Saccharomyces cerevisiae S288C: one gene and its partner. Changing the gene in region 1 together with any one later gene gives a genetic interaction. Each region holds a gene or a part of one and is shown on either strand. Other genes may lie near its edges.

Region 1 (3,081 bases):
CTTTTATAAAATCTTCGTTTTGTCTCACATATACCAACAAGAGTAACGATGTTTTCTTTACCTACCCTAACCTCAGACATCACTGTTGAAGTCAACAGTTCCGCTACCAAAACCCCATTCGTCCGTCGTCCGGTCGAACCGGTTGGTAAGTTCTTTTTGCAACATGCTCAAAGAACTTTGAGAAACCACACCTGGTCTGAATTTGAAAGAATTGAAGCTGAAAAGAACGTCAAAACCGTTGATGAATCCAATGTCGACCCAGATGAGTTGTTATTCGACACTGAATTGGCCGATGAAGATTTACTGACTCATGATGCTAGAGACTGGAAAACTGCCGATTTGTATGCTGCTATGGGTTTGTCTAAGTTGCGTTTCAGAGCTACTGAAAGTCAAATCATCAAGGCTCACAGAAAACAAGTTGTCAAGTACCATCCAGACAAGCAATCTGCTGCTGGTGGTAGTTTGGACCAAGATGGCTTTTTCAAGATTATTCAAAAGGCCTTTGAAACTTTGACTGATTCCAACAAGAGAGCTCAGTACGACTCATGTGATTTTGTTGCCGATGTTCCTCCTCCAAAGAAGGGTACCGATTATGACTTTTATGAAGCTTGGGGCCCCGTTTTCGAAGCTGAAGCTCGTTTTTCTAAGAAGACTCCTATTCCTTCTCTAGGTAACAAAGATTCTTCCAAGAAGGAAGTTGAACAATTCTATGCTTTCTGGCACAGATTTGACTCCTGGAGAACCTTTGAGTTCTTGGACGAAGATGTCCCAGATGACTCTTCTAACAGAGACCACAAGCGTTACATTGAAAGAAAGAACAAGGCCGCAAGAGACAAGAAGAAGACTGCTGATAACGCTAGATTGGTCAAACTTGTTGAAAGAGCTGTCAGTGAAGATCCCCGTATCAAAATGTTCAAAGAAGAAGAGAAGAAGGAAAAGGAAAGAAGAAAATGGGAAAGAGAAGCCGGTGCCAGAGCTGAAGCTGAAGCTAAGGCCAAGGCCGAAGCTGAAGCGAAGGCTAAAGCTGAATCTGAAGCCAAGGCTAACGCCTCCGCAAAAGCTGACAAAAAGAAGGCTAAGGAAGCTGCTAAGGCCGCCAAGAAAAAGAACAAGAGAGCCATCCGTAACTCTGCTAAGGAAGCTGACTACTTTGGTGATGCTGACAAGGCCACCACGATTGACGAACAAGTTGGTTTGATCGTTGACAGTTTGAATGACGAAGAGTTAGTGTCCACCGCCGATAAGATCAAGGCCAATGCTGCTGGTGCCAAGGAAGTTTTGAAGGAATCTGCAAAGACTATTGTCGATTCTGGCAAACTACCATCCAGCTTGTTGTCCTACTTCGTGTGAATACCGTAAGAAATGGAATAGAATATATACGAATGTATACGAATATTATAGAGAACGTTCTCTTTTATTTCTATAATGAATAGGTTCGGGTAACGGTTCCCTTTTTAGGTATTTCTAGAAGATGAGAGAAGAGGGAATAATGAGAAAGGCGAAAAATAAAGGACACCTTTAACGAAAGATCAAAGGTGTCCTTATTTACTTACAATAGCTGCAATTAGTACGACTCAAAAAAAGTGAAAACAAAACTGAAAGGATAGATCAATGTCTTACAGAGGACCTATTGGAAATTTTGGCGGTATGCCAATGTCATCATCGCAAGGACCATACTCTGGCGGTGCACAATTCAGATCAAACCAGAACCAATCCACTTCTGGCATCTTAAAGCAATGGAAGCATTCTTTTGAAAAGTTTGCCTCCAGAATTGAGGGGCTCACTGACAATGCAGTTGTTTATAAATTGAAGCCTTACATTCCAAGTTTGTCAAGATTTTTCATTGTGGCCACCTTTTATGAAGATTCGTTTAGGATCTTATCACAATGGTCAGATCAAATTTTTTATCTGAATAAGTGGAAGCATTACCCATACTTCTTTGTCGTTGTGTTTCTAGTGGTTGTTACCGTTTCCATGTTGATTGGCGCCAGTTTGTTAGTTTTAAGAAAGCAAACCAATTATGCCACCGGTGTGTTATGTGCTTGCGTTATTTCTCAAGCATTAGTTTATGGGTTGTTTACGGGTTCATCATTTGTCCTAAGAAACTTTAGTGTTATTGGTGGGTTGTTAATTGCATTCAGCGATTCAATTGTTCAAAACAAGACAACATTCGGTATGCTTCCTGAATTAAACAGCAAAAACGACAAAGCGAAGGGTTACCTGTTGTTTGCTGGTAGAATTTTAATTGTTTTAATGTTTATCGCTTTCACTTTCAGTAAATCATGGTTTACTGTTGTTTTGACCATTATCGGCACAATATGTTTCGCCATTGGTTACAAGACAAAATTCGCATCCATTATGTTGGGTTTGATACTAACTTTTTACAATATCACGCTAAACAACTACTGGTTTTATAACAATACTAAGAGAGATTTCTTGAAGTATGAGTTTTACCAGAACTTAAGCATCATTGGTGGGCTTCTATTAGTTACTAATACTGGCGCTGGTGAATTATCCGTTGATGAAAAGAAGAAGATTTACTAGATTGTAAAGGAAATCTTTTCTTTATGTCCCTTCTGTTCACTCATCTTCTAACAATCTATTTCGTTTTGCCTTCTTGTGATCGCTTTCAATACCCTGCTAGCTCACATATATACTTTTCTTACTGTCATATCTACATAAAAGATTTCTTTTTGTATAGGCGCACTTAACGAAATTTGATTGGTCTCACGTTGGCTTGTATATTCTACCTTCAATCAATGTGGTTATATCGCACAGAATTCCCTTGTATTATGATAGAACTTATTTATTGTAATTAGTTTTGATTTGACCATTTTCGTTGGTCCGTAATTGTTTTACACTGTCACTGCTTAAATCATTGAAGAGATGCTCTTGAGATAGCATCCGCTCTCCTATCTTTCCAAAGAAACGCTTTAAAGTCGCTTTAAGCAATCTCTAAAGTTTAAAAATTCCTAATAAATAGCTCTTTAGCAACTATTGTAAACCGCAATAATGGGCACACCCAAACATATTATTTGAAATTTTTTCCACCTCATCGCTTGAAAACACCATGTTGAAATT
Region 2 (4,808 bases), on another chromosome or scaffold:
GTGGAAGACTTGCAAAGAATTCTGAAAGTTGCGGAAGTCAAGCCCCAAGTTAATCAAATTGAGTTCAGTCCCTTCTTGCAGAATCAAACACCAGGGATCTACAAATTTTGCCAAGAACATGATATATTGGTAGAAGCATACTCGCCACTAGGTCCCTTACAAAAGAAAACAGCACAAGATGACTCTCAACCGTTTTTCGAATACGTGAAAGAGTTATCCGAGAAATATATCAAATCTGAAGCCCAAATTATCCTACGTTGGGTGACCAAACGTGGCGTGTTGCCTGTAACCACCTCTTCCAAACCTCAAAGAATTTCTGACGCGCAAAATTTATTCTCTTTCGACTTGACGGCTGAGGAAGTCGATAAGATAACGGAGTTGGGCTTGGAACATGAACCGCTAAGATTGTATTGGAATAAATTGTACGGTAAATACAACTACGCTGCTCAAAAAGTATAAATACCGGATAATTTATGTACGAGTCATATTTGTTTTGTATAACTTTATTAATCGACTTTTTTTGTCAGGTTTATCACCCCGTTACCCATCCCGCCACTTTTCAGCATCGAGGAAGAAAAAAGGGCTGTACATTATATAAAAGGCCATCAAAAAATACCGGAAGAGGGCATCTCCCCAATAAAGGTGCCACACTGAGCAGAGACAGATAGGGACGCGCATCATGTGTTGCTACTGTGTTTGTTGTACCGTTTCTGACTTTATACTGTATATTGTTGCGTTTTTTTTCCCCCCAGCTGCAGTCCTTCTTCGATCTGGGCCTTGTTCATCTGATTTCCTCCTGAATGTATTGCTAACGCTACTGGGATTTTTGCCCGGTATGTTACACGCATTCTACTACATCACAATTACAAGTCCTTTAAGGAACGCTGAATACGTCTATTATTACCAGCAAGGCTGGGTGGATAGCGAAAGAAACGTTCCTTCGAATCGTCCTCAAAACTCGCAGACCCCCCAAAACCGCCCACAACAAGGAAGCTCCGCTAGAAACGTATACCCGAGCGTTGAAACTCCTCTGTTACAAGGCGCAGCTCCCCATGACAACAAACAGTCTCTGGTTGAGTCTCCTCCTCCTTATGTGCCATGATGAAGCTACAGCAAGGAAAATGAAAATTCCAGCAAGCAAGCAAGCGAAGACCGTTCTTCTCTTTCCTATGATCTTCCTTAGCAAAGAGGTTTGCCAGTCAAAGTAAAAGAGCTGCCATTAAGAAATGTATTTCATTTTGACAGCTTCTTCGATCAATACCGCCAGCTCCCTCGAGCCTATAACTATTTTGCGGATCTGTAAGCCGTAATGTTTTTCCCATAAACGTCACTGAATGTCCATATATCATACTACCAGTAAGCGCCTGTTGGAAACCTTCCTACCTTCATACGTGTATTCTGCTATATCCCTTCTTTTCCTCTTTACGTACAGAATGACATCTATGTAGGCAAGTTTCTTTTTCCATCATTGGAAAACGAAAATACATTTTTCACTAGCACCACAAAATTTTCAAGATGGCCAGGCTAGTTAAATCTATTATACAATAATTATTGGTTATATATTTAAAAAACAGAAACATTTTTTGCTTTAAAAGCACGCCATAGTATTGCTTTTAATATTGTGATCTGCGTCCTTTTTTTTCTCAGGAAAAAAAAATTTTATACACATTCAAAGAATAGAAGCGATTGTCAAAATTCGCTTCTCCTTTCTTTTCCATTATAACGTCTGATCATTTTACGTCTTCAGTGCCCTCCCTTGTTCGAAACTAGATACTTTCGAACACTTCTCCCCTTTTAATCTACAAAATTTTGTATGGATTTGTTTATTGAAAGCAAGATAAACAGTTTATTACAATTTTTATTTGGTTCCCGACAGGATTTTTTGAGAAATTTTAAAACTTGGAGTAACAACAATAACAATCTATCGATTTATTTATTAATTTTTGGCATAGTAGTATTTTTTTATAAAAAACCAGACCATCTAAACTACATTGTTGAGAGCGTTAGTGAAATGACAACAAACTTCAGAAATAATAATAGCCTTAGCCGTTGGTTGCCCAGAAGTAAGTTTACCCACTTAGACGAAGAGATCTTGAAAAGAGGTGGTTTCATTGCTGGTTTAGTTAATGATGGTAACACTTGTTTTATGAACTCTGTTTTGCAATCATTGGCATCATCCAGAGAATTAATGGAGTTCTTGGACAATAATGTCATAAGGACCTATGAGGAGATAGAACAAAATGAACACAATGAAGAAGGAAACGGGCAAGAATCTGCTCAAGATGAAGCCACTCATAAGAAAAACACTCGTAAGGGTGGCAAAGTTTATGGTAAGCATAAGAAGAAATTGAATAGGAAGTCAAGTTCGAAAGAAGACGAAGAAAAGAGCCAGGAGCCAGATATCACTTTCAGTGTCGCCTTAAGGGATCTACTTTCTGCCTTAAATGCGAAGTATTATCGGGATAAACCCTATTTCAAAACCAATAGTTTATTGAAAGCAATGTCCAAATCTCCAAGAAAAAATATTCTTCTTGGCTACGACCAAGAGGACGCGCAAGAATTCTTCCAGAACATACTAGCCGAGTTGGAAAGTAACGTTAAATCATTGAATACTGAAAAACTAGATACCACTCCAGTTGCGAAATCAGAATTACCCGATGATGCTTTAGTAGGTCAACTTAACCTTGGTGAAGTTGGCACTGTTTACATTCCAACTGAACAGATTGATCCTAACTCTATACTACATGACAAGTCCATTCAAAATTTCACACCTTTCAAACTAATGACTCCTTTAGATGGTATCACGGCAGAAAGAATTGGTTGTTTACAGTGTGGTGAGAACGGTGGCATAAGATATTCCGTATTTTCGGGATTAAGCTTAAATTTACCGAACGAGAATATTGGTTCCACTTTAAAATTATCTCAGTTATTAAGCGACTGGAGTAAACCTGAAATCATCGAAGGCGTAGAATGTAACCGTTGTGCCCTCACAGCAGCGCACTCTCATTTATTTGGTCAGTTGAAAGAATTTGAAAAAAAACCTGAGGGTTCGATCCCAGAAAAGTTAATTAACGCTGTAAAAGATAGGGTCCATCAAATCGAAGAAGTTCTTGCCAAACCAGTTATTGACGATGAAGATTATAAGAAGTTGCATACAGCAAATATGGTACGTAAATGCTCTAAATCTAAGCAGATTTTAATATCAAGACCTCCACCATTATTATCCATTCATATCAACAGATCCGTATTTGATCCAAGAACGTACATGATTAGAAAAAATAACTCGAAAGTATTGTTTAAGTCAAGGTTGAATCTTGCCCCATGGTGTTGTGATATTAATGAAATCAATTTGGATGCTCGTTTGCCAATGTCAAAAAAGGAAAAAGCTGCGCAACAAGATTCAAGTGAAGATGAAAACATTGGCGGTGAATACTATACGAAATTACATGAACGCTTCGAGCAGGAATTTGAAGACAGCGAGGAAGAAAAAGAATACGATGACGCAGAGGGGAACTATGCGTCTCATTACAATCATACCAAGGATATCAGTAACTATGATCCCCTAAACGGTGAAGTCGATGGCGTGACATCCGATGATGAAGATGAGTACATTGAAGAAACCGATGCTTTAGGGAATACAATCAAAAAAAGGATCATAGAACATTCTGATGTTGAAAACGAGAATGTAAAAGATAATGAAGAACTGCAAGAAATCGACAATGTGAGCCTTGACGAACCAAAGATCAATGTTGAAGATCAACTAGAAACATCATCTGATGAGGAAGATGTTATACCAGCTCCACCTATCAATTATGCTAGGTCATTTTCCACAGTTCCAGCCACTCCATTGACATATTCATTGCGCTCTGTCATTGTTCACTACGGTACCCATAATTATGGTCATTACATTGCATTTAGAAAATACAGGGGTTGTTGGTGGAGAATATCTGATGAGACTGTGTACGTTGTGGACGAAGCTGAAGTCCTTTCAACACCCGGTGTATTTATGTTATTTTACGAATATGACTTTGATGAAGAAACTGGGAAGATGAAGGATGATTTGGAAGCTATTCAGAGTAATAATGAAGAAGATGATGAAAAAGAGCAGGAGCAAAAAGGAGTCCAGGAGCCAAAGGAAAGCCAAGAGCAAGGAGAAGGTGAAGAGCAAGAGGAAGGTCAAGAGCAGATGAAGTTCGAGAGAACAGAAGACCATAGAGATATTTCTGGTAAAGATGTAAACTAAGTTATAAATACGATATCCGTAATTGTGTAAATAACAATAACTATAATTAAATTGAATAATTAAAAGTCTACGTTATTCGTTAAATCAATTGTTTAGCTAGTTACGAATGTCTAAAGTTTTTGTAGGACAATTGCAAAAATCACTTCCATTATTATACAAATCCTTCGTAAGCTTCATTTTTCTTACCATTGTACTTCTTCAACTTTTTCTCTTCTTCTCTCCGTTCATCTAGTTCATCTTCGTTAATTAGGTCATCAATATCGAAATCGAAATCATTTGGATCTTTGTTGTACTGTCCAATTACACGTCTTTTAAGGCCTGTCTTTGAGTCTATTTCAAATTTTCTGGAAGCGGAAGAGGCACTTGCACTGTCATGGCCAAGGCTTTCCTCCGTGTCCTTCAGATCAAACTTTAATACATTGGTATGATCAAGTTTTTTTTTCAAATATTCCCTCTTACCAAGCTTACCAGTCGCTGACTGTGCTGTTGCAGACGATTTCGGTTTTGTTAGTTTGAATGTACCGATGCCAGAAAACAATGGCAACAATGCAATGAAAGCAATCAC

What was found. Genes that interact genetically often act in the same process or in processes that back each other up.
Region 2: mutations in ERV29 (region 1) and UBP1 together harm fitness more than expected from each alone (negative genetic interaction), as found in Saccharomyces cerevisiae (2 studies listed by BioGRID).

The regions. Positions count from the first base shown.
Region 1 is NC_001139.9:1,060,121-1,063,201, reverse strand, and holds ERV29 (protein ERV29), read left to right. Parts: upstream 1-1,611; coding exon 1,612-2,544; downstream 2,545-3,081. Other genes in the region: ZUO1 (zuotin), read left to right, coding at 49-1,350. UniProt on the Saccharomyces cerevisiae protein: Constituent of COPII-coated endoplasmic reticulum-derived transport vesicles. Required for efficient transport of a subset of secretory proteins to the Golgi. The C-terminal di-lysine motif is required for exit from the endoplasmic reticulum.
Region 2 is NC_001136.10:240,739-245,546, forward strand, and holds UBP1 (ubiquitin-specific protease UBP1), read left to right. Parts: upstream 1-1,813; coding exon 1,814-4,243; downstream 4,244-4,808. Other genes in the region: YDL124W (aldo-keto reductase superfamily protein), read left to right, coding at 1-459; SNA4 (Sna4p), read left to right, coding at 680-1,102; EXP1 (Exp1p), read right to left, coding at 4,395-4,808. UniProt on the Saccharomyces cerevisiae protein: Has an ATP-independent isopeptidase activity, cleaving at the C-terminus of the ubiquitin moiety in natural or engineered linear fusion proteins, irrespective of their size or the presence of an N-terminal extension to ubiquitin.